Arabidopsis thaliana: one gene and its partners. The protein of the gene in region 4 interacts with the protein of the main gene of each other region in a pairwise test. Each region holds a gene or a part of one and is shown on either strand. Other genes may lie near its edges.

The links.
Region 1: the proteins of CERK1 (region 4) and LHCA1 interact in a two-hybrid assay, tested with the Arabidopsis thaliana proteins (one study listed by BioGRID).
Region 2: the proteins of CERK1 (region 4) and AT5G15140 interact in a two-hybrid assay, tested with the Arabidopsis thaliana proteins (one study listed by BioGRID).
Region 3: the proteins of CERK1 (region 4) and SPL3 interact in a two-hybrid assay, tested with the Arabidopsis thaliana proteins (one study listed by BioGRID).

The regions. Positions count from the first base shown.
Region 1 is NC_003074.8:20,338,176-20,343,195, reverse strand, and holds LHCA1 (chlorophyll a-b binding protein 6), read left to right. Parts: upstream 1-2,019; 5' UTR 2,020-2,273; coding exon 2,274-2,464; intron 2,465-2,777; coding exon 2,778-2,880; intron 2,881-2,967; coding exon 2,968-3,256; coding exon of another isoform or gene 3,257-3,315; exon of another isoform or gene 3,316-3,347; coding exon 3,348-3,490; 3' UTR 3,491-3,692; downstream 3,693-5,020. Other genes in the region: AT3G54910 (RNI-like superfamily protein), read left to right, coding at 1-229; CXIP1 (CAX interacting protein 1), read left to right, coding at 825-1,346. UniProt on the Arabidopsis thaliana protein: The light-harvesting complex (LHC) functions as a light receptor, it captures and delivers excitation energy to photosystems with which it is closely associated.
Region 2 is NC_003076.8:4,906,417-4,912,262, forward strand, and holds AT5G15140 (Galactose mutarotase-like superfamily protein), read left to right. Parts: upstream 1-2,234; 5' UTR 2,235-2,269; coding exon 2,270-2,840; intron 2,841-2,947; coding exon 2,948-2,997; intron 2,998-3,112; coding exon 3,113-3,236; intron 3,237-3,328; coding exon 3,329-3,436; intron 3,437-3,544; coding exon 3,545-3,854; intron 3,855-3,944; coding exon 3,945-4,254; 3' UTR 4,255-4,504; downstream 4,505-5,846. Other genes in the region: WRKY72 (WRKY DNA-binding protein 72), read left to right, coding at 1-463.
Region 3 is NC_003071.7:14,302,654-14,307,020, reverse strand, and holds SPL3 (squamosa promoter binding protein-like 3), read right to left. Parts: upstream 2,021-4,367; 5' UTR 1,680-2,020; coding exon 1,381-1,679; intron 1,304-1,380; exon of another isoform or gene 1,290-1,303; coding exon 1,193-1,289; 3' UTR 949-1,192; downstream 1-948. Other genes in the region: MBAC1 (Mitochondrial substrate carrier family protein), read left to right, coding at 1-58, 129-317, 406-504, 594-728. UniProt on the Arabidopsis thaliana protein: Trans-acting factor that binds specifically to the consensus nucleotide sequence 5'-TNCGTACAA-3' of AP1 promoter. Binds specifically to the 5'-GTAC-3' core sequence. Promotes both vegetative phase change and flowering.
Region 4 is NC_003074.8:7,614,330-7,621,104, forward strand, and holds CERK1 (chitin elicitor receptor kinase 1), read right to left. Parts: upstream 4,343-6,775; 5' UTR 4,202-4,342; coding exon 3,562-4,201; intron 3,466-3,561; coding exon 3,432-3,465; intron 3,344-3,431; coding exon 3,336-3,343; intron 3,239-3,335; coding exon 3,083-3,238; intron 2,994-3,082; coding exon 2,800-2,993; intron 2,722-2,799; coding exon 2,632-2,721; intron 2,539-2,631; coding exon 2,445-2,538; intron 2,368-2,444; coding exon 2,216-2,367; intron 2,118-2,215; coding exon 2,029-2,117; intron 1,947-2,028; coding exon 1,811-1,946; intron 1,715-1,810; coding exon 1,616-1,714; intron 1,376-1,615; coding exon 1,214-1,375; 3' UTR 1,028-1,213; downstream 1-1,027. Other genes in the region: TWD1 (FKBP-type peptidyl-prolyl cis-trans isomerase family protein), read right to left, coding at 4,696-5,028, 5,118-5,270, 5,411-5,533, 5,645-5,829, 6,070-6,159, 6,275-6,451, 6,732-6,768.

The DNA of each region.
Region 1 (5,020 bases), about 13 Mb from region 4:
AAGTACTGTCCCTGAATGTATGTTGTTGAGTCTCCAAACTCTCAACTTGTCGGCATATAGAGGAACACCAGAAGAGAGAGATCTTGCAGTGTATTTCTTGAAGAACGCTGTTCACTTGAAGACCACAACAATCAAGTCATGTGTTTTTGATGATGAAAGATTTGACATGTTAAAGGAGTTGGCACTTTCTTCTAGAGCTTCAACAACATGCCAACTCGTGTTTGATTGAGAGTATTTGATCACCAAAACAAAGCTTGTTCTTCAGTTCTTCCATGTCCCCGGGCTCGTATGGTTTGTCTTCAACCTGAAAATTTGTTTTCGTCAACCATCTTTTTCTATGTTTTCCGTTTTTTTTGTATGTGATAAAAACTTTATTCTATATGTTGTCCACCAAAAAACAAATTATGTTGATTGGAGAAGTTATATGATAAGTTTTAATCGTTTATGGGGTTTTATAGGTGTGTAGAGATATATACATACCTTGTGAATGAAGAAAAGAGAACTAGCTCTGTGTTGAAAAACTGAAAAGCATTTGATGCCCTGATAATTTCTCTAAAATTATTAAACCGAAATACTAATACGATCCAAGTGGAACCAACCAATTTCTTAATATCTAAAATACCGGAATCTAAAGAGTCGAACCAAACCGAACCGGAATGTCCTCTAATTTTTATTTTTAAACCCATGATTATGACATGCACTACCGGCTTAGTGGTGATGTTTGGCAACATGGTTTATTCAATTCTCACTCGCACTGAGTGTCTGTGGCTCATAAATCATTTACCTTTTCAATTTCTCAATTCCAAATCTAAAAGTCGTCAAAAATGGCTCTCCGATCTGTCAAAACGCCGACCTTGATAACTTCGGTCGCCGTCGTCTCCTCCTCCGTTACCAACAAGCCTCACTCTATCAGATTCTCTCTTAAACCAACGTCGGCACTCGTCGTCCATAACCATCAGCTATCGTTCTACGGTTCGAATCTCAAGCTGAAACCAACTAAATTCCGATGCTCAGCGTCGGCTCTTACGCCGCAACTTAAAGACACGCTGGAGAAACTGGTGAATTCGGAGAAAGTGGTTCTGTTTATGAAAGGAACGAGAGACTTCCCGATGTGTGGATTCTCCAACACTGTGGTTCAGATTTTGAAGAATCTGAATGTTCCTTTCGAAGATGTGAATATTCTGGAGAATGAGATGTTGAGGCAAGGACTTAAAGAGTATTCGAATTGGCCGACGTTTCCTCAGCTTTATATCGGCGGTGAGTTTTTCGGTGGTTGTGATATTACTCTTGAGGCGTTTAAGACTGGAGAATTGCAGGAAGAGGTGGAGAAAGCTATGTGCTCTTGATCCTGATTTCAATACTTGGTTTTTGTGATGATGGAATTTGATCTTATCTATCTATCTATCACCTGGGAAAAAAAATGTGATTTTGATGTTTCAGAGTTTGTGGTTGTAACATTAAGAGACATATATTGTATGATGGATTTAGGTATACAACAGTTGGAGTTGCTTGGAATTTGAGTTTCCTTTGTCATATGTGTTGGCCTGCAAATTTGTGTTGTTTGTTGAAAGGTTTATGTGTGAAGTAGTGCTAGTAGAATCTAAGTTTGTTTCTGACTAAGAGACATGAAGTCATGGGTTGTTATGCTCATTCATATCCTGATTGAGATACAATTTAAAGAAACTTAGTTCCAAAGATTCTGAACATTCACCGGTACAGTGTGTCTGCAAATGGTATTCTGTCTCACTTCAATGTCTAAACACGTTGTCTCAAAATGTATCGTTTGTTAGATACTCCTTTCAAGACATATGATTTAGCCTCGCATGTGTTCGTTGATCCAAGTTTTACCGGTTTGATAAGTCTCCAGTCTTAGCAATAAATCCAGACCGGATTCATGACCAATCGCAGATTTACCGGTCCGGGTCAAGTTTTAAAACATTAGTAGAAATGTGTTTCACCGAACAGGAAGACTTATCTGATAGCATCTCGTTGCAGTGGATAAATGGCAAAATAGTAATATACGTAGATTCTGCTTTTATCTGAACCACATAGTGCAGATGGATATCGAACAGAAGAACATGATATCGAGAAGACACGTGGCCCAATGAAAAAGCCACGCAGGCTCTGTATAGCCAATTGCAATCTGGTTTTAGATTCTCATCTCACAAATCTTACTTATACGATCAGTCTCCCACATTCACACTTCCACCAAACACCTCTCGTCCACATCTTTCTCCTTTGGTGGCAAACACAACGACAGATAGAGAGAAACGATGGCGTCGAACTCGCTTATGAGCTGTGGCATAGCCGCCGTGTACCCTTCGCTTCTCTCTTCTTCCAAGTCTAAATTCGTATCCGCCGGAGTTCCACTCCCAAACGCCGGGAATGTTGGTCGTATCAGAATGGCTGCTCACTGGATGCCTGGCGAGCCACGACCAGCTTACCTTGACGGTTCTGCTCCTGGGTACGCTTCGAACCCTTTTACTCTGTTTTGTTGCTCAGTTTGGAATCAGAATTGTTTGTTAGATTACTCTGTTTTGATGACATGATGCAACATTGTACGTTTTGTGAAAGATTCAATTTTTTTTATGTTATTGGGTATTCATATTTCAGAAAGTTGTCTCCTTTCAGAATTTGAATTCCCTTTAGTTGTGTATTCAGAGATTCTAGATAGATTACTGGAACCTCTTTTGATGACTTAAGGGTTCTGATTTCAACATTGGAGGTTGTTTAGAAAGTTTCAGTTTTTCTAAGTTATTGGGTACAACATTGTGCAGTGACTTTGGGTTTGACCCACTTGGACTTGGAGAAGTTCCAGCGAACCTTGAGAGATACAAAGAGTCAGAGCTCATCCACTGTAGATGGGCTATGCTCGCTGTTGTAAGTTTCAATATCCAATCTTTGTCTTATCATAAGGGTTTAGTCTTGTTAAGTTTAATCTAATGGACTTGGTGGGTGGTGTTGTAGCCTGGGATTTTGGTACCAGAAGCATTAGGATATGGAAACTGGGTTAAGGCTCAGGAATGGGCAGCACTACCAGGGGGTCAAGCCACTTACTTGGGAAACCCAGTCCCGTGGGGTACTTTGCCCACAATCTTGGCCATTGAGTTCTTAGCCATTGCATTTGTTGAGCACCAGAGAAGTATGGAGAAAGACCCTGAGAAGAAGAAGTACCCGGGAGGCGCATTTGACCCTCTTGGATACTCGAAGGACCCCAAGAAGCTCGAGGAATTGAAAGTTAAAGAGATCAAGAACGGTAAGCACACACAACAACTTACCTTTCTTGATCAAACTTATGTACAAATGTATATCTAATGTTGGTGTTTTTTGCTTGGTGGGTGTAACAGGGCGGCTTGCGCTGTTGGCGTTTGTAGGATTCTGTGTGCAACAGTCGGCTTACCCGGGGACAGGACCATTGGAGAACTTGGCAACTCACTTGGCGGATCCATGGCACAACAACATTGGCGATATTGTTATCCCTTTCAACTAATGAATGTAAAAATAGAAATATGTGTACCTTATGAGCTTTATGTGTATCAAAAACACTGTGTAATGAAAGACAGATTTGTGAATTCCTGTAATTTGTCTTGGTGATCGAATGCTCGTGTGAGCTTGAATTCTAAGTGATGAACCTTTTGAACCCAAATACACATTACATCTCATGCTTCCTACAGAAGAAACATTGTAAGCTCATGACTATTTGTTAGATTTCTCAACAATCACATTCACATACTATAAACTCCATAACAGAAGAAACATTGTTAGCTCATGATTATTTGTTAGAGTTCTCAACTCTATCCAAATATGCTTTTTGTTTATATCAACTTAGATAAATGGTTATTGAACCACACCAAGATACATGCATTTTACATTTGAGTTTTGATGAATATTTTCTATTCATCTTTTTTCCCCCTCATTTTTACCTTCTACATTTTTTCATATTGAACAAAAACAATCCTGTTAATTTTCTTCCCTCTCTTTTCTAGTAAAATCATTTAAGGATTTTTTTTGAAATTAGTTGATGTCTTTCTTATCACATTTGTTCTATACTTCTACTAATTTTTCTTTTGTTCTTTTGCATACTAATCTTCACCTACAAAATAGAGTACTCTCTAAACAGAGTCTTGGAAAGTTTTGTCTTCCTTTTATATTCTCAACTATAAAGTTTAAATGAGACATAGTTCTAGAAAATAACATCTTTGACATTCAATGGTTCCCTTAATTATATATTGAGCTAGAATTTGAAGAAAAATCAATACCACATTAATGTTTACAGATTTTAATTCATATATGGCTTAGTATTCTATTATTATATGATTTTCTCAATTTAATTCATTAAAATCAAGTAATCAGAATTTCAAATAATTTATTTTATATTTCAAAAAACTTAAAGAAAACTTTAGATTTGACATGTGACAAAATTTTCACCATTCTCTTCCAATATAATAAAGAATGGAGCTATCTTCCTAATCATATCCACGTAAGATTGAGATAGAAACTTGAGCTGCGTGGGGCATGCTTAATTTTTTCTGTCTCATTGACCCAAAGATATATCTGTATTCTAGTGGATACATACATTATTTACTCATTACCAACTACAAGTAAACTCCTTTAATTAATTTTTAAATTCTATATTTGGCTCATAAATTATTCCTTTTTAAAATTTATTTTTAGTTGATTTTTCATTGCCTACTCAAGATCTAAAATTTTCCTTTACATATAAAACCTAAAAGAAAACATATAATGCAGTTTCAATCCCTCTACCAAATTTTCTGTTGATACTTTCCTCATTAAGGTAATCATTCCTCTATCCTCTACTTTTCTTATGTAGCAAACTTTCTCTTTCTATCATGAATTTTGGTTTCTCCTTAGAATCTTTTTGGATCTTGAATGCTTCTGATCTGTTTTATTTGGATCTTTAAAAATATATTCTTCACCGGAAATGCCATTGTTTTAATCTCAATACATTTCTTAAGGAGATAGAACTAGTTCTTTGATTGAAAAATCTCTGTTTTGTTGC
Region 2 (5,846 bases), on a different chromosome or scaffold from region 4:
CCCGTCTACTCTCAACCTACCCGCGATTTGGGGTAATGGGTATTCTTCTTATACTCCATATCCTTACAACAACGTCCAATTTGGGACGTCCAACCTAGGAAAAACAGTCCAAAATAGCCAGTCCTTAACCGAAACCCTAACAAAAGCGCTTACTTCCGACCCAAGTTTCCACTCGGTGATCGCTGCTGCCATCTCAACTATGGTCGGATCAAATGGAGAACAACAGATTGTCGGTCCACGGCATTCGATTAGCAATAACATTCAACAAACCAACACGACGAATAATAACAAAGGATGTGGAGGCTATTTTAGCAGCTTATTGATGTCTAACATTATGGCGAGTAATCAAACGGGTGCTTCTTTGGATCAACCATCGTCGCAACTTCCTCCCTTCTCTATGTTCAAGAATTCTTCTTCTTCGTCTTCTACGACTAATTTCGTGAACAAGGAAGAGAAAAGCTAGTCATTGTTCTTGTTTTTTGTTTTTTGGGTGATTTTTTATTAGGTGTTTTAATTAGTCTTGTATCAAGATATGTTGATTCTTGTTCGTCCGTTTCTCAAAAGTGTTTATTTTTTCTTCTTAGTTAGGAGACTATGGAACCAAATTCAAATAAACCAAACCAAATGTACAATTTTTTTATGTTCTTGTGTGGCAAATATTATGTTCTAATTTGATTTAGATTGAGATGATACAATAATTTAATCTATCTACTAGATTAATCAATAATCACAACGTTTTTTTATTTAAGTAGAAAATAATAAAACAAGAGTCAACAATACAATTTGGTTTCAAGAAAATTACAATTTGAAAGGGAAAAAAAAATAGAGAGAGAATATTATATCATATGTATATATATTTAGACAAAAAAGTGAAAATAAATGGGCGTGGGCCTAAAGTGTCGGAGCAACTTTCGAATTAAAAGTGTACTGTAGGATGAAATGGATCTGATATGCTGATTCAGCCTTATTGGGGCTAAACAAATGGGCGTGGGCCTAAACATATGGGCGTTAGTGAGAAATCTTTGATATTCACCGAAAGGATACTTACAAGTGATCACCGAAAAGAGATGCAAAGAGAAATGGGAAAACATAAAGAAATACTTCAAGAAAGTCAAGAAAGTTGTAAACAACAACAACAAGACGACGAATAATCTGTAATGATGATGATTCGAGTTCGAACCGGTTTGGTGGTGAATGATTAGTAATCTTTTCAAAACCGGTTTGGTTTCTGATTTTGGTTTGATTTGTTCTGTTCAGATCCGACCGGACCGGTTTGCTACTAAGGTATGCAAATAAATTATTTAGAGAAAATTAATCTATTTAAAGTTTCCTCCATTTAACTAAATAAGAATAGCTTATTGGTTACATAGATTTTATTTTATTTAAGAGTTTCATCATTTATAAGACGAACACATTTTATCTGTTTCTTACTATAATTCAAAAAAGAATAGAATGACAATATTCTTGACCAAAAAATAAAGAAGGAAAATGTGAATATTGTTCTATCATTAGTTTATTCGTCCATGAATTATTTATCTATTCATTTCAAATTTACTATTCATCTAATTAAAGAAATTAGATGGACTTATATTTGATCAAATTCTTTTGAGGTTTCGTCATACACATTTCGGTTTAATCAATCTAAAGATTCTTGTGAATCAAAAAAGATTAGTGCCGCCTTGGATGTATTCATCATATAAATGATTCAATCAAAGGTCTCTCTTTCTCTCTTATGACATGAGTTAATGATGAATCTATTTTCTATCTTTAGATAAGCCATAATTAATTCAGTCCTAGAATCAAGCATGTAAGCAATAGAAAGAATCAAGCATATAAGTAAACTATCACTCTTATCGCTAAACAAAACGGTATAAAAATATATCGTTTGCGATTTGTTAAATACGTCAATAAATTTGAATATTCCATAGTTATAAAGATTTCAATATCTCAATTATAGTCCATTATTAGTTGTAAGATAAAAAAATGGTGTGTTCTTACCAAAAATAAAAAGATAAAAATGGTGTGTTTAAGTTTATCTATTAGAGTTTGGTGATTCATGCAACTTTAGCTGTAAAGATTTTGGGATAAGAAGAAAATTATAAATGGTAAACACAATCCGGTGATATCTCCTAAATTCTCTATGAATCACAAATTCGTCAAAAACTTCCTATTTTGTCTAATTTTATCCAGTAACATTCAACCTATAAATTCTCAACAAGAAATTCATTTGACTCATAATTACTTGTGATTCTTATTTGTCTTCTTCAATATGGCGAGAAGTTCTGTTTTGCTATGTTTAATTCTATTGGTTACGTTAGGAGTTGTGATAAGTGTCACATTTGCCGACAACGTTGAATTGAAATCAAAAGATCTAGAGAGCAGTAAGAAAGATAAGAAGGTTGATCATGATAGTACACACAAAGAGAAGGGAGGTGAAAAGGTAGATGGTGCCGGTTCTGATGATGAAGACAACGATAAAAAAGAAAAAAAGAAAGAGCATGATGTGCAAAAAAAGGATAAACAACATGAAAACAAAGACAAGGATGACGAGAAGAAGCATGTTGATAAGAAGAAGAGCGGTGGTCATGATAAAGATGATGATGATGAAAAGAAGCACAAGGATAAAAAGAAGGATGGACACAATGATGATGATGATAGTGATGATGATACGGATGATGACGATGACGATGATGATGATGATGATGATGATGATGAAGTTGATGGAGATGATAATGAGAAGGAGAAAATTGGGTTATACGAGCTCAAGAAGGGAAATCTAACTGTCAAATTCACAAATTGGGGTGCTTCAATCATATCTCTCCATTTCCCAGACAAAAATGGTTAGTGAACAATCATATTGATTGTTGGCAAAAATACAACTCATACTATATATATCGTATAGACATATAACGAAATTGTATTATTAATGGTTAATACTGATTTTCAGGTAAAATGGACGATATTGTTCTTGGCTATGATAGCGTCAAAACCTACAAGGTATGTAGAAAATTCTTTTTACCGTGTGTGTTATATTTTTAATTTGTACTTTTGAATTATTGCTATGTTTTTGTTATACTAAACTAATAAATTAGTTTTTTTTATCACTATTTAGACCGACAAGGTTTATTTCGGAGCAACCGTTGGCCGAGTAGCAAATAGAATAGGAAAGGGCAAATTCAAGTTGAATGGTAAAGAGTACAAGACAAGTGTCAACGATGGAAAAAACACACTCCATGGTAAATTAATTATGATTGCCATAACATAATTAGATCAATTAGTTATGATTTATGCGAATATATGTAATTGATTTAGATTTTTGTTAAATTAGGTGGCAAGAAAGGGTTTGGGGATGTTGTGTGGGCAGTTGCAAAACACCAGTACGATGGCAAGAAACCACACATTGTCTTCACTCACACAAGTCCTGACGGCGATCAAGGTTCCCTTTCTTTCACTACTTTTTTATTCTACCCAAAACTTTTGAAATGTACTATGATCTAAGGAAGAATCTAACGATTACTAGTCCTCTTTTTTTATATATCAATAGGGTTTCCGGGAGAACTCAGTGTCACGGTGACATATAAACTTGTCAAAGACAATGAATTGAGTGTGGTGATGGAGGCAAAGCCTAAGGATAAAGCAACTCCGGTGAACTTAGCTCATCATAGTTATTGGAATCTTGGTGGTCATAATTCCGGAGATATTTTGTCTGAAGAAATTCAAATCCTCGGCTCGGGTTATACCCCCGTCGACGGTGAGCTCATTCCCACCGGGAAAATCAATCCGGTGAAAGGAACAGCATACGATTTTCTCCAACTCCGTCCTATTAAAGATAATATGAAGGATCTTAAAACAGGGTGAGTGGTAGCACATATATATACTTTGCTAAAATATCAGTTTTAGTATGAACAGTAACCTATATGATTGTTTCATTTTTTATCTTGCAGATATGATATAAATTATTGCTTAGATGGTAAGGCAAAAAAGATGAGAAAAATAGTTGAACTCGTAGATAAGAAATCAGGGAGGAAAATGGAGTTATCCGGAAACCAAGCGGGTTTGCAATTCTATACCGGAGGGATGTTAAAGGATGTCAAAGGGAAGAATGGGGCAGTTTACCAAGCTTTCGGGGGATTATGTTTAGAAACACAAAGTTATCCAGACGCATTGAACCATCCCAAATTTCCTTCACAGATTGTCGAGCCAGGGAAAAAATACAAACACACTATGCTCTTCAAGTTTTCTATTGTTTCATAGATTGTTTTAGATGTTGTTACATGAACACCCTTGGAACCATGTCCAATGTTCATGAACAAGAAACTAAATACATTGTAATATTTTGTAACAATGCTTAAATTATCAAATTATATGAACCTAACGTGAATATTCGATCTGTACGTAATTTATGCATAACTCATAAGTATGCACTATTTTTCTGTAACCATATAACAGTATATGATTATATAGAGGAAAAATTAAGTGCCCTATGAATTTGATTCAAGATCCGAAACCAGTTTGTGTTGCATATAACTCCACTGAAGACGTACCTTAAGGGTTTGATATTTGTATAATTGTATCTAAGAGTAAGAGCCCTACCAACAAGAGTCAAGGTCGACGTACCAATCTCTATATAAGGTGCTCACACCAAGTGTTTTCAAGAATCCTGACGTCCTTTTTTACAAAAATGCAAAGCATCTTCGGATTTTTTTTCGGTATAATACAAAGCATATTTTCGAATAGTTTACTCATTGGTTCATCAAACAAATACCTTTCGGGCATATGTTGAGATGGTGTCGCTCGTGGACATAGACTTTCTCGGCTCTGCTTTTGTTAATTATTTCAGTAAATCCAAATGTGATTAAAATAAAATACTAAAAATAACTAAAATCCTGAAGCTATTTGGGAGTTAGATCTTTTGAACGAACTCGAAGTAATTTAGAAGAATGAGTTTTTTTGCACCAACTGTAACGGTCTAAAAGAGATACTTCGTATGTAATCTGTCGCTTAAGAATAGTTCATCGTCCATCAATTTTTACATTTAAAAGAAAACTTATGTATTCAGTTAGACAATATTCTTATTATAAGGCACAAGCAAAGGTATTTATCAATGTCCTCTACAACAACTTACGCAAAAAAAAAATCCGCACATCCTCTCATTATATTTTTCTTTAGAGAATTACTATTAGTTAATATTATTTCAAACTATGTGGGTAATCTGGGGATGTTTGAATTGTTCAAAAGTTTGGTCATAAAAATGTGGGAATGAAGAAATATTATTACTTTTTTCGGATTTTTAAGATCAAATTAATTTATTTAATGCGATTATATATGGCGGGTCAATCTATTCGACGTATTCGTTATGACGGTGTTTGTTAAATCAAATGTAGAAAAGTAGAAAACAGAACATTTTAGGAGTTGACCTATCCATTATCCATCAACTTAAACATGTGCACTTCACCAAAATTCTTATACAACCATATAAAATATACGAGAGACCCAAGATCTCACATGCCATTATCTATTTATCTAGCTATATATTCCATAAACTACGTATGTAAGTACGCACACGTATTGAGTGATGTCCGAATAGATTAGTGGAGTTGACATTTAGTTTTGCGATCTGACCATAAATTTTAGGTTTTACAGTAACTTTCTTTCACCCTATACAACAATTCGTTTCACTTTACTTGGTAAACTGAAACTTTTTGATTTTGTGATCTATTTATTTATTTATATTTTCTAATAAAGGGTCTTCGTTTTATTTTCTACATAAAGTTTAGGTTTAGTGATTTATATCACAATAAATTTAAGAAAAACCATTGCCTAACAACTAACCACCTCATAATTTT
Region 3 (4,367 bases), on a different chromosome or scaffold from region 4:
CTTCCGTAGATACAACAGTCCTCTTGATTGTGCCGTTCAGACCGTTAAAAATGATGGGGTGAGAAACTCTCGTTGCTAAAATATTCTACTTAAGAATCGAATATCAGGTTGATGGGGATATCTTTCAGGTAACAGGTATCTTTCGTGGTGGTTCGGCAACCTTATTAAGAGAATGTACGGGAAATGCTGTCTTTTTTACTGTCTATGAGTACTTACGGTATCATATCCACTCGAGATTGGAGGATTCTAAGCTGAAAGATGGTTACTTGGTTGACATGGGGATAGGAGTTCTCACTGGTGGTCTTGGAGGCATAGCTGTAGGAATCTATATAGTGTGTTTCATAAATTCCATCATAAAAAATGTTGCTATTTTATATGAATATTACTTCTGCTTCTATGATGCAGTGCTGGTCAGCTGTTTTGCCTTTTGATGTAGCAAAAACCATAATCCAGACCTCTTCAGAGAAAGCTACAGAGAGAAATCCTTTTAAAGTGTTGAGCTCGGTCAGTCAGCCATCTTCCCTCTATGAATCTAATTACCGATACAAAAGAGTATATGAAATATTGTTTTTGACTTTAAATCATCTCTGCAGATTCACAAGAGGGCAGGACTCAAGGGATGCTATGCAGGTTTGGGTCCAACCATTGTGAGAGCATTCCCTGCTAATGCAGCAGCAATTGTTGCTTGGGAGTTCTCAATGAAAATGTTGGGAATCAAACGTGACTAGGATTAGTCTTCCAATCTAATTTATTTGGTTCGATTTACAGATCTTTAAACCACAAGGAGCTTGCATTTGCTTCAGATTTTGATGAGCTTTCATGTAACAGAACTACATATATCACGAATCAAAAGTGTCTCCCAGATTATTATTTTTGATAGCTATTTAGCTGTCTCCTCATTTGTTGATTGCAAAACAAATACAGATCCCTGGTGTAGTTTAAGATCTTGGCTTGAAATAACATTTGACAAGTTTAAAGAGTTATTACACATAATTTCTTCAAGCATTTACTAAGTCTCAATGCATTTATTTAACCATGTCGTAGGTTTAGCAGATAGCTTTGATTACAGGTAATATGGAGAAACAGACAGAGACACAGAGGATTACAAGGAGCTAAAAGAGACTGACAGAAGAGAGTAAGCAAAGCCTGTTTCATTAACCTTCAAACCGGGATCTCACACGTTTCACCGTCTTTAGTCAGTTGTGCTTTTCCGCCTTCTCTCGTTGTGTCCAGCTAAGCGTCTCCTGCAACTCCGCTTGGCTTCATCAAACTCACTGAGCGCGTGAAACCTTAAAAACAAAAGGTAAAAGGTCTCATATTTCTTGTTCTTGTTTATGGTTATTGTTGCAGGAGTTTTGAAAAAAGATGACAAAAATTTACCTGCTGCATTGTTGGCAGAAACGTTGGTGAAGACCAGAGATCCGAACATGAGGAGCTTTGGCATGAAACTGGCAGACTTTGTGTCGTTTGTGGTACTGTTTGGCTTTGCTCATATCCGCGGTACAACTCTCGACCTGACAAACTCCACTACTACTTGTAGCTTTACCTTTCTGCTTCTTCTCCAAAGCCTCTTCTTCTTCAAAAGTATCTTCATCTTCAGTTTCTTCTTCTTCTTCCTCTTCCTCACTCAGTTCTCGTAAGCTCCTCTTCCCTTCCGCTTTGCTTCTTCTCATACTCATCTGCAAAATTCAACTCTCTCTCTCACATGAAAGATGGAACAAGAAGAGAAGAAGAGGAAGTAAAAGTAACCATTGGAAGAGATATAAAGGAGCCCCAAACAAAAGTGGGGAAGGATCTTAGGTGCTTAAGTTGTTGGACCACTAAAATTTCACTCCTAAGGTATAAAAATTATTAGCATGTTGTGTAAAAAAGAGTACGAACAAGCTTTAGTGCTCTATTATTTTGTATATGCATACATGCATACATATGTATCCTTAAAACCTGACGAGGACCCAGCTCTATTTTGTAGTTTTAAGTTAATGTCGATGCTATGACACCACCCCGGTTTATTTTGTGGTTGATCATGTTAATGCCGATGCTATTTCACCATGCGGGTTCAAATATGCATGTTGTTTGACAAGAAAATATTGAGAGAGAGAAACTGAGAAACACTGTGAACATTTTGTCGCGAGATTAGTGGAAAATACATGTGAAGAATATGTGCTAATGTAGTGATTGGAAAAGCAAGACTGAACAGTAAATTTACATTGTGTAATGTTTTATTTTTGTGGTAACAAGAAGTTGAGATTCGAACTAAAAAACAGACCAAACATACCACATTGCGTTTTTATGAATCATTCGCTTTTTTTTTTTGGTAGTTAAAGTTTCTGTATCAAAAAAGAATAACATATTTAAAAGATCATTCGTAGTGTACTATTTTATTTTTCTCTTATGTTGTTGGTTTAATCATGGAGTGACTCAATAATTTATCCAACTGTAGGTTTGTAAAAACGTTATTACTGAGGAATATGTCCACTAATTTGCACATAAATGTGTCGTAAGGTTTATATTTAGTTTCAAAAAGAAGTGTTTACGATTTTATAGTATAGGGCCACCACTAAATTAATTTGACAATTTAATTTCTTGTTTGGTGTAGATGATAAGGTCAATCAAATTAGCTATCGGGGCCACGAAGCCAAAAGTGGATATACAAGAATGGTCCAAACTTGAATTATGTATTCATTTTTCAATTGGTATTATGTAAAACAAAGATATTAGCATAATTAAATGGTAAAAACAGCAAACACAACTCTGTTATTCGAGATATTTTCTTTTCGATCTTGTACTCAGGTCTCAGGGTACACTAAAGACTACACATATCTCGAAGACACTCTGAGACTAGAAGCAACAAAAGAAAAAAAGAGAGGCTATTCTTAACGTGCAAGGAGGTTTGTGGTTCGTGAGATTTGAAGATCATCTCTAACTTAAAGTTCACACCTAAAACCAAGAAAAGAAAAAAAAAAAACTTGTTCACACCATAAAACCATGCACATATACTAGGTTATGTCATCAGCTAGATTCATGCACATCAGCACATCCACATATATAAATAATGAGGAGCGTCGTCAAATATTGATGCCAATGCTAATCAAATGTTAAATGATTTTGCCGTGTTATGTCATCAGCTAGATCCATGCACATCCACATATATAAAATATAGAAGGAAATGGTACAGCGCTATGCAAACGTTTTGCTCTATATCTCTTAGAGGTAAGGGACAAATCTATTTTTTGTCACCCCCTCCTTTTGACTATTTACGAAACAAAATCACCAGTTTACTATCTCCACTATTTAGCTCTATTTGTGTTTACATCAATCGATCTAGTTTGCCCTAACTTATTTTCATAGAGCCACTTGAACGAAAATCTTTGTTGCCGAGGCAGGCATAACATAAAATTGAGTTCCACGACACTTGAAATAAACAGAATCGAATCAATATCTTGAACCCAATTTATAAAAGGAATATTGTTATGCACTTATGGTTTATTTTCTACTTCTTTTAAGTTGAAATAATATCTTAAGAAAAAATGGACAAAAATAAATAACGTCAAGATTGGGCAGTAGAGTCGTCAGCTGTCATGACACTACTTATCATTATTGTACTGCCTGTCAATTTTTTGATTGTATCTTTTATTCAGCAGCATCACATTCTCCTTCAGTGTCCTTCTCTTCTTTTCTTTTTCTTTTCTTTTTCTTTCCTCATTAAACCCATACAATTCTACGGTAAATATTATGGATTTGCATACAAACTCTCTAATTGTTTGTTTGGGTACTATAATATGGGGTCCCTATAATATGTGTAGCTTAACTTTAAGATAGAACTAAGTCAACAAGATCCGGAGACACCATGTCAAAGTTCTATGTTCTTATGATTAGATGAACAAAGTTATGATTTATTCAAGATTATCACGATTCGAACTAGTTCTAAACTTGTAAACGTAAAATAATAAATAACGTTTGCAACTACAACACTGAACATAAATTAATGAAGTTTGCTTGATGTGTTGGTTAAAATTTGGAATGGGACAATAAAAAGAAGAAGAGAACTGAGAGAAGTGGTGGGGGAAGTGGGAACCTTAACTTCCCCACGTGACACTAACGAGCAACGTTAATTGAATAGTAGTAGGCCCTTTTTGTAGTACACTCTTTTATATATGGTCACCTTTTAATTAGTTTGCAAATCACATACTTTTAAAATCATAAAAGCAATTAACGTTGCTCGTTGGTGTCATATGCGATTGTAGTTAGTATAATCGATCTTAATTAAAACAAAGTCCATATTAAAAATGACCAAAGTATGTAAAAATAAAATGTTGAATTAGCATATGGTCACTGATCTTTTCTATTTTAAGATTTAGTAAACCTAA
Region 4 (6,775 bases):
TCTTGTTGTTTCTATCTGTGAAGTCAAACAACGTTGAGCAGAGAATGAAGGAGAGGAAGAAGAAGAAGAAGAAAGTATTAGGGATCAAAAGAAGAAGCAGAAACATTCATAAAAATGAGATTTTTAATTTGTGTGTTTGGGTTTATTTTGGAAATTGATCCAAAGATTCAACTGAAGTGAGATTTCTGCTGATTCATACGTTTTGGGTGTTACAAGTCCATTTAATTAATTAATTAACTAATTTAGCGAACCGAGGATTAAACGGTGAAGGACACCTGGCAAAAGAGATTAATTTGTGTTAAATAAAGTAATAGTGTTAATTAAGGAATTTGTATTTTAATTGAATGTTTTGTTGTTTAGGACATCGTCCGTTACTGGGTTCCTTTTCAGTTTCTTTAGAGAAGCAATAATGGTTTATTAGCCTTATAGGTCTCGCCGTATTAGCATGTTATTTATGTTCATATTATAACGGCTGTATTTTATATTGGTTTAACGTTTTCTAATGTATTTATTTATTCCCTGATTTGAAAGTTTAGAGGACACATTATGTTAAAAAAAAAGGTTTGAGATCTGACTTTTGGAATGAAAAAGTTTTGATTTAATATTAGTCAGTTTAAGGTAACTTTTTGTGTGTTTTAAATAATTATTCCGTTACAAATAATGGACAAACGAAAAAAAATCATAGATATATGTAGCCGTATCTGTATGTTGTTGACAGAAGAAAAAAACAAAAAATGAAATATATTGGTTTATGGTAAAAGAATATTCGATTACTCTATTTCTAATAAAGAAAATCTAGCTAGGTGAAATAAGAAACATACTTAGTGTTCTAAGCTGGAATATAGATTTTATGTATTGGGGAATCCATGTGACAAAATCATTCGAATTTCTTTGGTGTTATGGAAGACTTGTTCTAAGCTTCGTGAGAGTATCCATCACAAAAAGTTATATTTTTATGTTTTGATTTTTTTGTCGGCAAACTCGATTTCAAAAAATTTATTTATGAGAATTTTAATGCATTTCATTATTATCTTTGACGTGAGATGCTGATATCGGAGACGTTGAATAATTGACATATAGAGCGTTATAGAAAATCATATAAAAGTCAACTTGTGAGTTGTGACATGTAAAGTTCGTATAGACAGACAAAATATACGTGAGCATACCAAAAAACAATCATTTCTATATAACAACAGCAAACCGGAAAACGAGTCTACCGGCCGGACATAAGACTGACTAAATCTTCGTTTTGGAAGTTTCCAACATCCCAATTTCCGGTAGACGAAAAGAGAGTGGATAAAGCAACCACAATGTATCTCATACTCGGACGTAGCTGCGCATTCTCTTGTGTACATGCTTTCCCTAATTCCGCCATCTATACCACAACACATAAAACACCAAATTGGCTTACCCCGTTATTAAAATTAGCTATGTGCAATCCGGTATTCGGTTTGATTTTTCGACACTTTAAGCTAATCGAATAGCACATTGTTCAGTGAATACCGGTTTTTAAAAATCGCACTTTTAATCGGTTTTTCGGACCAAAAAACGGATTGGACACCCTCTTTTAGAATGATCAATGATGAATAGAATAGGGAACAAGAAGAGATATTACCTTGTATACCGAATCAAACGGGTAACTATCACCGAGCCTCGGGTCTATAATCTTGCGTAGTGCTTCTTCTTTGTCGGTTTCCTTGAATGATTCTTCGAACTGAATAATAAATAAACAAAGCATATTGTTAAGTGATCCACATACATGCCTTTAAATCAGAAAGACTAAATGTTACGAAGAAACAATAATACTAACCACACCAACAAGGCCTCTAAATTCACCAACGGCTTCTGTCATTTTGACAACCGCACCTTTCGCAGAAATCAATTCGTAAAGGACAACTCCAAATGCATATACATCTACTTTTGCAGACACTTCTCCATAAACAGTCCTGCATACATACATATATACACCATCACTATAGTGTAGTCTCTAAAGTAGTATATAAGTGTAAACGAGATCAAATTCTTTACTCTGGTGCCATGTAACCAAATGTACCCATTGCACCCCGAGTTGCTGAACCTCCAACTTCTGTCAGTTTTGTTAACCCGAAATCTGCTACCTGTAACACGTAAACGACTCAGAGCGGTGACAAAGGAAAAATCTAACCTTTTCAGTATTTTTCACTTTTGATTGACAAAAGAGAAATCGAGAATGTACCTTTGCTCGGAATTTCTGGTCTATCAAAATATTGGCAGATTTAATGTCCCTATGGACATAAACTGGAACCGTGTGCTCGTGGATATATTCTAAACCTCTAGCTGAGTCTAGTGCAATCTGCACTCTCTTAGTCCACGGTAATGGTTCTCGTCCTAGTTTCACATAAACTCTTTTAGTTTACAACTTTCTCGAAAAATGATTCACTTTTGGAGGTCTTTATATTGCGTACCTGACCCATGTAAATGTTGTCCAAGGTTACCATTCTCAACATATTCATACACCAAGAAAAGTGATCCCTCAACACAATATCCAATCAGGCGAACCTGCAAGAAAAAACAAATTCGTTAAAATTTGGCTAAGACTTGATCTTCATCTGATCTCAGATATTATCTTGAGAGAACACAAAAGGGGTTTACCAGGTTGACATGATGTACACGCGTTAAGACTTTTAGTTCCGCCAAGAACTGTTTCGATGCCTCCATGTCCATCTTCTTAATCGCAGCTTTCTATACAAGAACCGAATAATTTAAATGTTCCATGTGTAGTAGCTTCAAACAAAAAGATATAAAAAGATATCTGCTTACTTCTCCTCTCAGCTCTGCATAGTAAACAGCCCCAAAACCACCTTGCCCAATCTTAAAAGACAAATTGAAATTATCAGTAGCCTTTGCTAGTTCCTCCAACGAAAACTCAACAGATTTGTCCACGCTTATGGCAGCAATGCCAGGAGACACTCCGGCACCACCCAAACCTCCACTTTGGAGACTAGTAGAAGAAGCTAAAAGCAGATTTCATATAAACATAATAAGCAACTCCCAGCTAACAAAAGAGACAAAAACTGCTTGTATATGATCATCACGAAATTACCATGATCAGCCTTAGTAGACAACGGAATAGAAGAAGAAAACGAATCACCCTTCGACTTATTCTTCCGGTAAGCATAATATACGATAAACAAGATCAACAACAAAGCCACAATCACTCCTATAACTATACCAGCAATAACTCCAGCACCAACACCATCTGCTAATACAAAAAAATATCAAAAACATACTCTTCCATGTCTCCTCTTGCTTCGTGCATAATCATCAAAAGCTCAAAAATGGAGAAAAGAACCAACCTTGTTTACTACAAAAAACATAAGAGAAGTAGAAATACATCAGTAAATAGATATCAAAATGAACAAAGATACAATCTTAACAACAACAAAAACAACCTTGATTTGAATGGTGGAAATGCACCATTTGGATCTGCAAAAAACACAGGAACATGTACATAAACTTCAACAATCATTACTACATTTATAACAATTTGTGTCACAAATCATCAAAGATCAATCTTTGTACCTCTTCCAGGCACATAAACGATTCCATTCCCGGAGTTAAAATTAACACCGGGATTATATCTCTGCAGAATATCCGCCGATACACCGGAAGATCTCGCAATAGAACTGAGACTGTCTTCAGGACGAAGCGGATACGTAACAAACAAACCAAAATCTTTCGAAACACTCTCATCACCACAAGAACAATTCACCAATACATTAAGCGTCGCAGAGAGAGGTATGTTAGTCGCCGGAAAAGGATTCCTCGCCTGTAACGACTCCATCGTCGTGAGATTCGCGTAATTACTAATCGCGACTCTTTCGTAAGTATCTTCCTGTCGAACACTGTAGCTGAAATTGTGCCCTAGGAAATCACCAGGTTGACATTCGCAAGGGAAAGGTACAAGAACCCTAGAGCCCATCTGGATTCTATCTTTGTCTTTAATGTTACTGTTGTACCTGAGGATTGGATCGAAATTGATTTGATCGTAAGGCGCGATTGAAGAATTGAGGTTTTGGTTGATGACGGAGAGTGTTGTTCCGTTCTCGAGATAGTACGAAGCTAGAGCTAAAGGACAGCTAGTCCTGCACTTAGATTCCACGGCGAAGAAGAATGAGAAGAGAAGAAGAATCGGAGCGATTAGAGAAATCTTTAGCTTCATTTTGAAGCTTCCTTAGATTCCCCAGAGGAAGGGTCTCTGTTTTTTTTGTTTCGTCGTTGCTCTGTGGGGAAGAAGATGGATTCAAAGACGAAAAAGGTTGACTTAATCAAACGTTGACTATTTTTTTCAACTAAAGAGAATGATGATTACTGATTAGTGTTTGTTAATTGTTGAGAAGTTTCTTAATTAATTAATAATACTAAGATCATTTAATGCAACTAGCAGCTGGAATTTGAAAGTCTTTGGTCAAAGACAAAAACTATGAAGACCGCCATTTCTGTTGAAGGAAGTAGATTTTACGTTCGAATTTTGTATGTTTTTTGTTAAAAATTTATTTTTTTGGATCAAAATATAAAGTTACTTTATAATCGAAAACAATAGAGACTATTTTTTTTTCTTATATAAAATATTTTTCAAAATTCTCACTAATAAGAAATGGGGGTAGATCTTTCACGTTGGTCTTTTAGAGTTGAATTGTTACCCTTCTTCATACATTAATCTGCTTTAACTCTGTGGCGTCGAAAGATACGGGAGAAAAGGGAAACAAACCATTGCCATAACACTATCAACCAAAAAAGGCTCTTTGACTTAGCACCACCTTCATCTTTCCCTTTGAATATTCCTTTGTACATTTCTTTCTGCTTTTGGTACAAGGCTTTCTCTTGCTCTGCAAGTGCTCGTAGCTCTCTTCTAATCGCCTTGTCGTCAGGAGCATACTTTTGTGCCTTTCGGAAATCATCACGTGCTGAGTCCATCTGTCCTAGCTCTGCCTTTGCTTTCCCTCTTCTGAACAGTGCTTTTGGGTTTTTCTCTTCTTCTGTCAACACCTGATAAGGTTTTGAGTTTGATTAGATTTCGAGAAACCGAGTATGAACTTTAATGATTTTCTTCAAATGAATGGTTTGATGAGTCTTACAATGTTGCAGTGACCAATTGCTTCATCGTATCGTTTTAGTTTGATGAGGCAAGCTGCTATGTTAAGATGGCATGGGTTTTTAACTGCTAAAGCCATATCCTGGTACTTCCCATACAGCTGAAACATAAAATCGTCCCCCATGTATGCTATGGCCTGAAACAGCAAAACCATGACTAATCAAAAGCCGAAAGAAGACACAAGAGCCTCGAGCAGACTCACTAAGTATGCCTGAAAACCTAAACTTTGACCGTAATTGTTGGAAAGAGAGATAGAGATAGAGAGAGATGCATAACCATTTCATACTGTTGCATGGCTTCCTCCAGTTTCTCCTCCTTAAAAAGAGAATTCCCATCCATTTTTCTTCTGTCTGCTGCACCAATCCTTTCCTCTACAGTCATATCACTGCGAGCTTTTCCCTGTTCAATACATCATCTAAGTCAGAGAGGTAAGCAAGGAGGTTGGGATAAAGCTTGGATGTGGAGTCGTCTTGGTAAGGAAACAAGATGATGGTATAGGAAATAACTTACCTCCTTTGTTTCATCAAACCCAATAACTTCCACCTCATATAACAAGTCTGCCATAGGTGGAACATTCGGAAAAGAAAAGTTTCCTTCTTTCCCATAAGCTAATTCCCAGCCAACATGCACAAGCGCACGTTCACCAGACTTCATGCTAGCAACACCGATGGCTAAACCGGCTAGTTCTTTTTTCTCTGTCTCACAGACAACATTTCACTCTTAGTGCACAATCTTTTTTATAAAAAAAATTGTATAGTGACGTTAAAATGGGCTAATCAGCATTGAAGCAAAAAAAATACAAAACTCAATCTTTTTTCCTCCCAAATATCCATCTCATTGGGTTCATATAATACACAAGCTAACTCATCAAATTTACCAATGACGATTCATCTAACGAAATGGAGGTGTAGAGTACATATTCGACAGCCACATACCTTTTCCAAGAACCAATTCAATAGGTTGCTGCTCATGCCATGTATCCTCAAATTTGTGCTGCGAGTTTTTGGTCCATGCCCTGTAGTGCACTATGGCCAATATGAAATTGGTCAGATAGAAAGATTCAAATAAACAGTAGCAATAGGCCAACAAGTGCAATCGAAAAATCAACATCCAATCAACAGAAAGCTAAAGGGTACTTACAAAAGCATGTAGAGTACTTGGATGGTTTGGAACCGTGACCTTCCTTTATAATCTGCTTACTGACTTTCTCATCCAAGACCTCAGCTTCACTATCAACTTTAGGAGGAACATTACCCTCTTGAGATGGCTCACTATGCACAACGGCACTTCCTTCAGTAACTATTTCGCTCTCTTGGTCTGGAGCCACAAAAGATGCATTAGTCAACCCCAATAGTCATTCTCAATTCTTAACAAACAGAAAAGGAGTTATCAAGTCTAACAAATTTGTTGTATACATGCTTTGTTCCAAGATTCACAATATGATTTAGAAAGAATAACGCAGTCAACATAATTTGATAGACATTTATCCTTTAACAAAGCATCCAATTGAATATGGGACAACAAAAAAACTCCAATCAAACATATTGAAGTCATATATATGTATTCAGAGAGATTAAATCTATGAAAATTTACTTACCATGTGTTTGAGTTTGATGCTCCAGAGATTCATCCATTATTTCC